Schizosaccharomyces pombe: one gene and its partner. The protein of the gene in region 1 interacts with the protein of each later gene in a pairwise test. Each region holds a gene or a part of one and is shown in the gene's direction. Other genes may lie near its edges.

Region 1 (8,407 bases):
CTTTATCTAATTTTTCTACGACCAAGATTTCCAGTATAAATGTTCCTTCAGATATACTTGATTTTTCTAATTTATCATCGAATGAAATTCCCAAGGATTATTCTTCTTCTACGGCTCTTTTAAATAATACAGTTGCTGTTAAACAGGATCACAAATTATCTGCAAATACTTTCCTTTCTTCCCCAGTCAAATTGATTGAGAGGGAAAGCAACAGTTGTTCTACAATTTCAATAAATAAAGAGGATGAAGTTGTTCCAAAATCACCACTAAGTTTGGATCGTAAAAAAGTTGATGAAGTCGAAGAACATTCATCAATCGCTAAACTTGACTCTGAAGAAAAAATTAGAGAAACGAAGAAAAAAAATTCATCAACGTCTCTTTCCCCGGATCCAACCTCTGATAATTTTGAATGGGGTTCATGGGTCAGTTCCCAAGATACCTCGAAAAACTCATCGAATTTAGCTTCTGCTTCCGTTGATGATGTAAGTGAAGAGTCTCAAGTTGAGCCAAATACTCTAATTTTTCAGAATTTTAGTTCACCTTCTACTTCATTGTCAGCTCCTAAAGACACTCCGGCTGTTATTCAATCGATCAATACTTCGTTTCTTAATAATGAGAGAGCAGGGCGTGGAAATATAAAAACAGTTGACCAAAATCAACTAATTAATAGAATTGTTGATAAGCTTCCGGATCTTAGTTATCTTGTCGATTGAAAATCTTAATGATCAAAAGGTAAACGTACTAATTTTAATCACATAATGGCTAGAGGAGTTATTGTTATATCTATGCCCAAATGAATATTAACTTTATTGTGAACAAATGTTAACTTAAATAAATCAATTCTAAAAAGATGTAAGAGGAATTGCATCTTCAAACAACGTGTTGTGAATATACAAATGTTTACTAATAGATTGAACGAATGTATACCATTCTCTAGGGGATGAAGGCATGTCAGTTTTATCATCACGATTCCAACATGTGAGGTGAAATGGTTTAAATGTTTTACGTAATCGCGATTCTTCATATTCGCTGCATGAACAATGCAATCGCTTTTCAAACAAATACACTGGAACATGAAATGGATGATTGGGCAAAGTTATGGATAGCGGTAGAGTACCTCCAAAGGAAAATATCCCTCCAAGCTGGTATTTAGTAGACAATTTATAACAACTATATAAAGCAACCATAGCTCCTTGACCAAACCCGAAAAAAAATATTCTAGAAGATAATATACCGTAAGAGAGTAGATTGCCAATTAAATTTGAAATCATCGTAAAACTTTTAGAGAAATCGGCTTCAGATTGCAGTTCCCCGTTTTGATCAAAATGGACATCCTCTCCCCACATCCAATTGCCTCCAGGATTTTCAAAATCTAATGGTAATCGATATGGTCCACGTAAGGAAATATAACTAGTGTTGGGCAACGGAACGTTCTTTGCCATATTTGCAAAACTCTTGTGAGAATCTCCAAGTCCATGCATTAAAATAACTACATTGTGAACCTTGTCTTTCCCTTCAATAATCTCTGCGCATGCATTTGAAGGTAGAACACTGTTTAAAGAAGACATTAGATAAAAGAAATACTAAACCCCGAGGTCAACTATTGAGATTAAACTTCTTGCCATTAACTTGGTTCTGTGTCAACAGTTTGTTCCTGAGCCATACGTATTTCCCGAATTATTTGAGCTATTGCTTCTGGGTGTACGTTGTTTTCACAAAGACTGATGCAGAGTGAAAGCGTTGTTTTATCAAGTTCAGTTCCAAGCAATGTTCCTATTTCGTATAAAACTTCTATTGTCTCTTTGGTAGATTCAGACATAAAACTCGATACTTTATAATAAACTAGTCTAATTATATATACTTCGTAACAAGTTGGTAATGTTAAGTTTACTGGAATAGGCGTCTCGGAGTAGCTCATTATAATCCTCTAAGTAATAAACAAAGTACTTCGTGGTGCATCTAGCTTGTGCTTGTAAAACGAAACCGAAAGTAGGCTCAACCTCAGATTTGAGCAGTCAAAATATTGATGAAATGTATCCTCTCAATGCTAATTCTTATACTCTGCTACGGAAATTAGGATCAGGTTCATTTGGGGTTGTCTGGAAAGCACGTGAAAATGTGTCTGGCGACATTATCGCTATTAAACAGGTAAGACTAATTAATTTTTACTCTTCTTTAGTATCACAAAAAACTTACAGTTGCAGATTGATTTAGAAACAGGTATTGACGACATTACCGACATCGAACAAGAGGTATTTATGTTATCGAATTGCAACAGTTCCAATGTAATTCAGTATTACGGTTGTTTTGTTGACGGATACACATTATGGATTTTGATGGAGCATATGGATGGAGGATCAGTTTCGGGACTTTTGAAAATGGGAAGGTTGAATGAACAAGTAATTTCAATCATTCTTCGAGAGGTCCTTTATGGGCTAAATTATCTTCATGGACAAAACAAAATCCACAGAGATATCAAAGCCGCCAATATACTACTATCTTCCTCTACCGGAAACGTAAAGCTTGCTGACTTTGGAGTTGCCGCTCAACTTTCGAACGCTGCTTCGCGTAGACACACGTTTGTTGGAACGCCATTTTGGATGGCACCGGAAGTAATACAACAAACAAGTTATGGTTTAGCTGCTGACATTTGGTCTCTTGGAATTACGGCTATTGAAATGGCTAACGGAATTCCGCCCCGCGCTACAATGCATCCAATGCGTGTCATCTTTGAAATTCCTCAATCCGAGCCTCCAAAGCTAGATGATCATTTCAGTCCAACATTCCGTGATTTTGTGTCCTGCTGCTTAGATCTCAATCCTAATATGCGATGGTCAGCTAAAGAACTCCTTCAACACCCATTCATCAAAAGCGCAGGAACTGTGAAAGACATTATTCCTTTGCTTGTTCAGAAGGAGAATAAATTATTTGATGATTCGGATCAAAGTGTATTGGAAGAAACCATAAATAATACTTTAAAGCCCTTTGAAGAACCAATTGCTGAAGGAAATGCTGACATTGAGGATTGGACATTTGAAACTGTAAAGAAATCTGACTCAACTGTGTTAGGGAATACTAGCATTCCTAAAAATTCCATCATCAGTTCACAAAATAAAGAGGAATTGCCTTCATCAATAAAATATTTAGAGAAAACTATAATGAGTGATCAAGCGACACCGCATCCTTTTTCCAAGTCATTGTCTGAAAAAGGTAGCTCTTATCATAAATCGTTGACTTCCGATTTTGCTATGAAACATTATATTAAGTCCACCATACGATCGATGTTATTAAATGATAAATTGTCAGCAACGCAGCGCTCATCTTTAGAATCTTTTTATACATCTTTCATTTCTTTAGATAAAAATCTGTCCTCAAAATTTGTTAACCAAATTACTCCAGACAACAGACTGCATCACAAAAAGCAAAAGCGGAGCCCCATATCACAACTACTATTTTCACGGTGGCTTGAAGAAACTGAGAAAAGAAGAAGTCTAAATGGATAGCTTACTAAAAACTCGTAAACAACCTGTTTACAGCATTCACAATTTTGTATTTAAATGAACTTATAATGGCATATTCTACTATAATTTAATCTACATAATATATATAAACACATCCAAACGAGAACTATTCGAAATCAACTTGACACTTGCTTTAAAGCATTTTGTACATTCCAGTTATTTCCAGACAAATATTGTTCAGCCGTTTGATAAGACACAGAAGTATAATTCATGACATAGGTTATTCTGGTTGGTTAGCAAAATTCTCCAAAAAAAAACATACTTAGCCTTTCTCTTAAATTCATCAGCATACTCAATCCACTTTCGTTTGACCACGTCCCATGTGGACCCCTGAGATTGCGCATTTACCATCTTCGCTTTGGAATGTATTAAAGCAGATACTGGTCGGTGATCTGATGCCTTCAGTTCGTACCTGGTATAGTTTTCTGCAGAGATGTAGTCGGGACTTCCACGATAACAGATACGATCACACCAGGCAGGCACACGCTTTTTTTCACTACTGTCGTACTGCTCACTATGAACGTCGTACTTGTAAGTTGGGGCAAACGTGATTTCTGGTTCAGTAAATGTTCTCAGACGAAATCCGGCATTTCTTTTTCGCTCAACAAGAAGCTGATCGCTTTGGAGCAAAGTTTTTATGTCGTTTTTTTTAATTAAATCTAAAGCTTTAGGTCTCAATGTGTTGATTCTATAATTTAAATCACCATGCAAAACACAAACTTCGTGATCCATAATTAAAGAGCCATCGCCACCACCAACGAATGTATTCAATTGATCAGTTTCATCATTTTCAGGAAAAAGAGAAGCATTGTCTAAAATTGTTGCCAAATCATTATTTCTGGCTGCTTTATTGGATTGACCAGCAGCCAAATGACAGTTTACTATGCAATATGAAGTATCATCTACCAGAAAGCGAACGACTATTGCACCTTTGTTACCATGCAAACCACCTAGTCCCGTTTTTACAGTTGTCGATTGTAACATCCGAATTTTGCTTTGTAACTTATTTTTTACAAAAACACATGAGAAAAGACCAACCAAATTTTCACATACCAAAACCTGATAATCATCGTTTGAGCTTACCCGCATCATTTCAGATTCTAATTTTTCACGCCATAAACGATACTGACTGGAAATATTAGCACTGTTAGACGAACCACCTTTGGAGCTCGACTTTGAAAGGATGCTTCTAGCTGTGAGTCTTTTATTCTCCAAATCAACTAGCTCTTGAAAACCAAACACAACTATATCTGGGTATCCATTGTCTCGAATCATCATTGGAATCATACTAGCTCCAATAGTATCACTATCTAGATCAGATGGCTTTGAAGCTCCGGCATTCCAGGAACAAATAAGTATAGACACGTCAGTAAAATTACTATATTCTGGGAAGCGGCTTCGCATTTCGGTAGCTAACCAGTCACCCATCATTAAACCATCCCAAAACTTGACAACTGAAGAAGCCATACTAACAACTTGGAGCCTTTTAGCTTTCCATACGCTATTCACATCAATACCAAGTATAGTGGTAGCTCCATTGTGACTTGCTTTATGACCATGCCAACTTTTTAAGAGGCGCCAAGGACTCTCAGAAACATCAAATACGTAAATCATGCCTGTCGTGTAGGCTGCCCAAAGTGTATTTCCAACACCAACTAGTGAACAAATTCTATAGAATGAACTGCTAGTAATTAGCTCCAAAAAACGGTATTGGGTTTTCGAAAAGATGGATATTTTTCCATCAACGTGACCATAGAAGACCAAATCCGTAAAGTTTGAAATAGTAGTGCCACAAGAGATATCACCTATCAAACCAGGTGGAGTCATGGGCTTCGCCAAAACACTTGCCGACTCATTTTCTGAAGTTGAAGGATCATATACATAAATTGATTTCCCAACAACAACCCATAAAAGCCGATTATCTAAAACCATAGCATGAGTGGCATGAGGAATGGTGCGAATACTATGTGGAGTAGACTGTATACTTAAACCCATAATTTCATCTTCCTGCCATACATACAGTTTTCCCATATCGTCCAACGTCCACATTTCATTTTTATAGACCATAACGTAAGTAATAGGACAATTGGAAACAGACTTCTTAGTAACGATATGATGATTTTGAACATCGACTTCCCATAACATCCCATCTCTCGTTCCAAACCAAACAAATCTGCCATCGTCAGAGTAATTCTCCGGGGATGATTTAAATGATAAGGACGTTACCTTCGTATCCCCTAGAGGCATATGCCAATGACAAAGACCAGTAACGGTGTCATAAACACGAAGTCCTCCGTTTCCAGCTAAAACAAGGCGATCACCACTAACATCAAAGATTCTAGCTTCAAAATCTACGTTAATTGATTCAACACCGTTAACAAAACAGGGCGGGTTCCTCCTAACGCTAGAAGTATCTGGTATGCTTCCTTTTAAAACAACATCTAATTGCGATGACGAAGAGGAACTAGCAGCAACAGAAGGATCACTTTGCTCAGTAGAAACAGGCATAGAGACAGGTTTGTTAGTAGCTAAGGATTTCACCCTCGGTGGTGGTGGAGGAAACAAAGGGGATGGTTTAGAAGATAAGTTTTCAGATGTTAAAGCTGGACTAGACAGTTCTGATAAAGTGTGACTAGGACGGGGAGGTAATCTGGGTTTCTCAGGTATTAAAGACATCTCTGATGCAGGAGCAATATGAGTGTAGGGAGACGACTGTAAACCAGTAACAAGACTGGCGTCACTTTTAGTAGCCAAATTCTCTATTGGGGAAGAAGAGCGCTGGGTAGAAACTTTACGCAGCGGTGGTTTTGGGGGCTTTCGGGGAGATACATGAAGCGGTAATTGTTGAGATATTACCGCACGCGATTGCTGTATAGCCTCAACAGCAACTGGCTGTGGAGGTCTTGGAGAGGGAATTGGAGGAGGAGTTTCCAAAGACCTGTCTCCAATGTTCAAAACAGGAGGCGCCGTCGATATGGGACACTCCTTTCCAAAGGTCTGGCTAAATGGATCATGCAAATCAAAGGAGGGCACACTTTTACTAGAATTGATAACGTTTTCTTCTTCTTCTTCAGAAGACAGAACCGAAGAGGCTTCGGAGTGAGTTGGAGACTGAGAAATATATGCCTTAACATTTTTTAATGGAGATACAGATATCGGGCTTGAAGAACCTGCTTTCGAAGAAAAATTGGGTTTAGGGGGTGGTATTTGATGATTATTGGTATCATCGTGTTTCATTAGATCATTTCCTTTGGTAGATTGTACAGATGATTGAAAAGAAATTTCAGGCCCTTTTTGTTGAGGTCGCTTAAGTAATGGAGAAACAGAAACAAATGAATTAGATATAGTAGGAGAAGATGGAGTAGCTACGTGAGATTCAGAAGAATCACTAGGTAGACGATCTATTTTTGAAACATCAGCGTGGGGGTTTGAAGGATTTTTAAAATTAGAAGCTAGCCTTTGAATTGAACCACTAACTTTTCGTCCAGTCGAACTTCCTATAGTCGATGAGACTTGCCTCGGCGGTGGAATAGGTCTTGCTTTAAAAACGTTTGGCTCAGAAGTGCCATTTTTACAACCTTTTACAGTTCTTCTTTTAGCAGTTTTTTCGTCCAAATTAGTTAGGTCACCGGTACTCAATGACTCGAACTTTGATTTCAATGATAAAACCGAAGGGGGCAACTCGGGTTCATCTTCATTCACATTGCTGAAGCCTTGGCGAGAGGCCATGTTCCATGATTACGACAATCTTATGCTTTAAATCAATTTTTTAAATAAATCACCTTTTTTAAATACTTCTAAAATCTATTAGGTGCTGTTTGGACCTTTTGCGCTTTTCAGCTAATTGTTGGAAAAAGACAACCAAGACACTGCGTGGGCTGACCTATTATGAAATAAACAAAGCCTCGTGCACTCAAACACACGCATCAACAATACTCCAAATAATCATTTTTACAGAAAACAAAAGGGAAGATGATGTAGAAATTCGCATAATACAAATTAGGAATTCCAAAAAACTATCAAATATTTTTTAGGCATTTGTATTGCTTAACTAAATAGTTTACTTCACATTTATAGAAACAATTTTGAAAGCCATTCTCAAGGCAATGAAAGATCATATTGTCATGTAGCTAAATATTTGTAACATATTATTAAGCATTGACTATAAACACACATTGCACAATTTTATTTCAGAAAGACACAAAACGAGAAATTTTAAGTACTTATGCAAGAAATTTTATAAGATACAGAAAATTTATTCGATATCAAAATTATATAAAAATTGAGCAACTTATGAAAGCATATGTACTATACGTTGAATAAAACCACAATAAAAGAGTGTATAAAGGCATAGAAAAAATAAAATAAAATCATATAGTTAATTGATTGTCTAAAGAATGTAATTTATACGGGAGGCAAGATAGACGTTTGACATTATGTATTAGAAATGAAGGACCATAAAAGATGATAGTATGGTTCACTAGCAAACAAACCCAAATGATAATTGGGTATCAAGTTTCGTTATATTTTAACATTATCTCTAACGTTTGCGAGAGCTGGTAGCCGCCTTTAGTCGTTCGATTTCAAGTTCAATTTGTTTTATTTGAACATGCTGAGCTTCCAAATCTTTATTTAATGAGTCGCGTTCGGCAATCAAGCGTTGTTCCCATTGTCGAAATCGAGTTTCTTCTACGCGCACTTGTTCTGTAAATCTTTTTCTCAAATTTTCTTCTTCTTCCTTAAATTTCGCATTATCAATAGTCCGCAGTTTAGGTTCTCCATACTGGCGAACTTTCATCTGCTCTTGTCGATATTGCTCATACAACTTTTCTTCAGTAGTTTGAATCAAATCAAGCATACAACTCCGAATTAAAATATTCCTAAGC
Region 2 (5,025 bases), 1.5 Mb from region 1:
TTTATAAAAGTTATTTTATTCGTATGCTGCATAATATCATTCTTTACTTAGGTTTCAAACATACCTATGAAGAAAACCTTAAAACAATAGCGATTTCATGAATATTATAAGAATAATTTAATTCGTTCTAGTTTAATAAGCATCATTTATAGTATGTGAATGCCAGTCAATAAAGTATTTGTGATATTCAAGTCAACTGAACAACGTTGCCTCCGCCATCTACTGGTTACTACAAAATGACTGATTATATCAAAGATAAAGCTATAGCAGCTGATTTTTCTTCAGTTCAATTTCGTTTTGATAACTATTTAAAGCAAAATTTTAATTTCGGAAGGTCTGCCTTGCTAAACTCTGGAAATGGACGCGATTCTGGATCGAAAATGGGTAGCGTGGTTTGCAAGCATTGGTATGTATATATAAAGAAGAGTAATATGAATATATATTTCATGTATTTTTCTATTTGTTTTTGTTTCTACCTTCATGATAACTAATATTATATAAGGCTTCGTGGACTTTGTAAAAAAGGTGAACAGTGTGATTTTTTACACGAGTACAATTTAAAAAAGATGCCTCCATGTCACTTTTATGCAGAGCGCGGCTGGTGTTCTAATGGCGAAGAGTGTTTATATCTCCATTTGGATCCCAGTAAACAAGTTGGTGTCTGTGCCTGGTATAATATGGGATTTTGTCCTTTAGGACCTATATGTCGAGGCAAACATGTACGAAAACCAAGGCCTTGCCCAAAATATTTAGCTGGGTTTTGTCCGCTAGGCCCTAATTGCCCAGATGCTCAGTAAGTTTTTTGAAGAATTATAGTGTTGACTTTCTCTTTCTATTACTAACATGTTCTAGTCCTAAACACTCTGAACCTCCGCATCCTCCTCAAAAGCGGAAAGACTGGTAAAGGATGCGTTTTTTAATGTGTCACTGTATATTAGGTAATGAAATCAAGTTATCAATGGAGTATATGCAATTAGTGATGCCGTACATTGATTATTGAGATTTTTTTTTATGGAATAAAATTAATTATCGACGTTGGGTTTGTCTTGGTTGCGGCGAACCAAATCGACACATAATCGGGATAATAGAAGTATTTAGAAACCGAAAAATAAGTTTTAAATAATAAGTCTCCCTTTTACATATGTTTTTTGCAACATAGAAGGAAAAGAAAATTTAGGAACTTAAGTATCGTTTACCAGTATGTAAAACGCTTACGTAGAGCGCCATCGTAATGTATCAAGGACGGTTTATTCATTTAATCATTCATACGTTATTCGTAAAATATTTGCTACTTTCCAGTTATGTTTCTTATTTTTTTGTAATTTACTTATCTGCTGTATTCAATTTTGCAAACTATAAAAACAATATGGATCTTTTATATGACAATGAACTTCTAGTTTTTTATAATCAAAAACACCTTTCTTTAGCGTACAAATGATTAAGGTTTCATTAATGGGAAATTGCCAACAAGTTTTACACTGGACTTTGTAAAGTTGAGCAAAAAATCCTATGTGTAGTAAAGCGTAAGATGAACACTGAAGTAATGAAATAGTGTTGTATTTATCAAAAATCCATTAATAACTTAAAGTCGCTTAAGGCTTGATTTACCGATAAAAATTTTACTGAGCTTTTGACTCGCCGAAGAGTGGTGTAGATTCGTTAGGGTAGCAGCATTTGATACGAACCATCAAGTTAGGAAAATCAGCAGCCCTCCAAAAAAGCCAGTGAAAACTGGGAAACTTTGTATCAAAACTTTTGAAAAAAGATCCAAAGACGGTATAGAGATACCCTTAGAAATTTGAAGATCAAGATCTTCGTATACAATTGAAATTGGCAAAGTGTACCAACGGGAACGAAATCTTAATATAATACGAGTAGAAGATGGATGATATAGAAGACTCTTTGGATCAGTGGAAATTTGCCCAGTATGTAAACGATGTGTGAAAAAAATTAATGACTAACTCTTTAGATGCTTTGGTGACAAGGGTGATGTGGAAGACATCACTGAAGGTATTGGTTTTGAGTAGTTCTCTCATAAAAGAGTTCTCTTTTACTTTAATCACTGAATAAATGACTAACAAGTTTAGCCGATATCATTTCAGCAGTAGAATTCGACCACACAGGTGATTATCTAGCAACCGGCGATAAAGGTGGCAGAGTCGTTCTTTTTGAGCGAAATCATTCGAAAAAGGGTTGTGAGTATAAGTTTTTTACTGAATTTCAAAGTCATGAACCCGAGTTTGATTATCTCAAGTCCTTAGAAATCGAAGAAAAGATCAATAAAATTCGCTGGTGCAAGAGGACTAATCGAGCGCATTTTTTACTCTCAACGAATGATAAAACTATAAAATTGTGGAAACTATATGAAAAGAATTTGAAAGTCGTTGCCGAAAATAATTTGTCGGACAGTTTCCACAGTCCTATGCAAGGACCTTTGACAACACCTTCGCAACTTCGACTCCCACGACTCAACCATCATGACATGATTATCGCTGCATATCCACGACGTGTTTACGCTAATGCACACGCATATCATATTAATTCGATTAGCGTTAACTCTGATGCAGAAACTTACATTTCCGCTGATGATTTACGTATCAACTTATGGAACTTGTCCATCTCCGATCATTCATTCAACATAGTTGACATTAAACCTGAAAATATGGAAGAACTTACGGAAGTTATTACTAGTGCCGAGTTTCACCCGATAAACTGCAATCATCTCATGTATAGTAGCAGCAAGGGAAATATCAAACTCTTAGATTTGCGTCAATCTGCGCTCTGCGATAATCCATGTAAGCTTTTCGAGGATCAAGAAGATCAAGATTCCAAGAGTTTCTTTTCTGAAATCATCTCTAGCATTTCAGACGTTAAGTTCTCACAAAATGGCCGCTATATTCTTTCAAGAGATTATTTAACTCTTAAGATATGGGATGTCAACATGGAAAAAGCTCCCGTTAAAACTATTCCATTGCATGATGTTTTGCGATCAAAGTTATGCGATCTCTATGAAAATGACTGTATTTTTGATAAATTCGAGTGTACCTTTTCTGGTGACGACAAACACGTTTTATCAGGAAGTTATAGCAACAACTTTGGGATTTACCCCACAGATAGTTCTTTGCCTGGCGATAGAGGACAGATAGTTTTGCAAGCCGACAAGGCTGCATTTAGAGCCAGAAAATCTGCTGCAAATAACGTTCCAAAGTTGAATGCTGTGAAAAATAATGATTGGCGGTCACAACCTCAAGCTGCGATGGGATCTGCTTCTGTTGGCCTTGATCCTGATAACCTGGATTACAATAAGAAGATATTACATGCCAGTTGGCATCCCTTTGAAGACTCAGTTGCCATCGCCGCTACTAATAATGTACGTTTGCTTATCAACTTTTTGTTTACTAATGTTTCAATAGCTTTTTGTTTTCTCTAAGCTCTAATGTCCTTATGTGGAGTTTGGTTTGTTTTTATGATCTACGGATAGACTGAACATAGTTCCTTTTTTATTGAACTTCCGGGAATAAGAGTTTTCTTACCTTCTTCTTTCAGATTGTATTCTTATATACACACACCATTTTAACCATTAATGACAGAAATAAAGTTTTTAGGACTAATGATAAAAGGGTGCTTTGTTTATCTCCCTTCATGTATGCCGTGAATCGATACATATGTACTTTGCTATCCACAGTATTTTTCTTTTTCTCTTTTTACGTGTTCCTTTTTAATCTTGAAATTGTGGTGATGCATCGTAAATTTCAACGTTTTTTCAATATCTCACAAAGTTTTTTTCTCTTGTTGAAAAAAATCTGAATTTGAAATCGTAAAAGTACTTTTCAGGTTAAGCTTCACCATTAATTTACCTTCAGCTCTTTTTTGTTGAACAACGAGTAATAATGTGTTAAGTTTTCTATATAAATGACGGGAGATCGATTGCAAAAATATGACTAAATGTCATAAAGTCTTTGGTTCACTAAAAAGGCTACAATTATTTTTACTAAGGCATGATTCATCAATGCATAAGAAATGATTATTTATACGTATTTTGCACCTGAAAAAAAAACCTAGTAAATTGAGGGAACATTAGTAGCTATAGTAAAAAGAGTAGAAAATCAAATGTAAAGCGAATATATGTATAAACTGAATCATATAGAGTATACCAACACTTAGACTCAATAGGATCTTAAATGCTGAATGACTTTTCTAAAGAATGAAAGAAGGGGAATAGTATAATTTTCGAATGAAGCAATGCGACTGATAAAAGAAACTCCTCACAAATTAGGATATTAACTGAAGAATATGAGTTGAAGAGACAAAGCGAGCAAACAGTGAAAGACGATAATTCCGAACAATAAAAGTTTGCACAAATTTGATCCGGCTTGCTGACAGATAGGATATAAATTTCTAGTTAAAAACACAATGGAAATTAACAAACCAATCCCTGTAAGTACATATTTGACAATATGGGAGGCCAAAGTAGATAGCAATCCAAACGGAGGAGTTGCTAAAGAAACGGGAAGCCAAACAATGTTAGCATATCCATATAAACACAGACAGTCGAGTAACTTAGGGTTGCATTTGTTCCACACTAGGATACCCCATAACAAAACGGCGATAATGGTAGTGTAACCATAAATAATTGATGCTGCAGAGATCAACTTTTTTATAGAATAGCCACTTGTACCATGCCCTGTGGCATAACGAGCGTATTCGGTAATTGAGTTGGAAAAGAATAGAGCCTGTATAACCGTAGTGGTTATCCAAAAAGGACCGTATAAATCGGGACGATCATCTACAACATCAAAGAAATTTACAGTGGGAATAAGAGTATGTATACATCGTTGAACCACATCTTTAGTTTCCACGTTAAATGAATCTTTGATGGTCCATGGCGTCTCTTGCATGGATGCGCGACGAGATTGTAATCTAGGGGCCGGAGGCTTTGTAATGGGAGTTCTCTGCTTATAAAGGTCTTCAGCCTCAAATGTTGTACGACCTAGGTCAGCTTCCGAGTCAATTTCAATCTCATGT

Evidence for each region.
Region 2: the proteins of sid1 (region 1) and pab1 interact in a two-hybrid assay, tested with the Schizosaccharomyces pombe proteins (one study listed by BioGRID).

What each region holds. Positions count from the first base shown.
Region 1 is NC_003424.3:1,983,726-1,992,132, forward strand, and holds sid1 (PAK-like GC kinase Sid1), read left to right. Parts: upstream 1-1,972; 5' UTR 1,973-2,031; coding exon 2,032-2,148; intron 2,149-2,204; coding exon 2,205-3,503; 3' UTR 3,504-3,637; coding exon of another isoform or gene 3,638-3,746; 3' UTR 3,747-3,783; coding exon of another isoform or gene 3,784-7,250; 3' UTR 7,251-7,509; downstream 7,510-8,407. Other genes in the region: SPOM_SPAC9G1.07 (Schizosaccharomyces specific protein), read left to right, coding at 1-482, 528-713; SPOM_SPAC9G1.08C (phospholipase), read right to left, coding at 843-1,568; putative mitotic spindle organizing protein Mzt1, read right to left, coding at 1,625-1,819; inp53 (inositol polyphosphate phosphatase), read right to left, coding at 3,638-3,746, 3,784-7,250; mitotic septin Spn4, read right to left, coding at 8,062-8,407. UniProt on the Schizosaccharomyces pombe protein: Has a role in the septation initiation network (SIN) required for cytokinesis.
Region 2 is NC_003424.3:506,548-511,572, reverse strand, and holds pab1 (serine/threonine protein phosphatase PP2A regulatory subunit B-55 Pab1), read left to right. Parts: upstream 1-1,679; 5' UTR 1,680-1,881; coding exon 1,882-1,925; intron 1,926-1,969; coding exon 1,970-2,010; intron 2,011-2,087; coding exon 2,088-3,370; intron 3,371-3,392; exon of another isoform or gene 3,393-3,413; coding exon 3,414-3,437; 3' UTR 3,438-4,051; downstream 4,052-5,025. Other genes in the region: cleavage and polyadenylation specificity factor complex subunit Yth1, read left to right, coding at 237-406, 503-793, 853-904; yip5 (Rab GTPase-binding protein), read right to left, coding at 4,281-5,025. UniProt on the Schizosaccharomyces pombe protein: Phosphatase 2A affects a variety of biological processes in the cell such as transcription, cell cycle progression and cellular morphogenesis, and provides an initial identification of critical substrates for this phosphatase.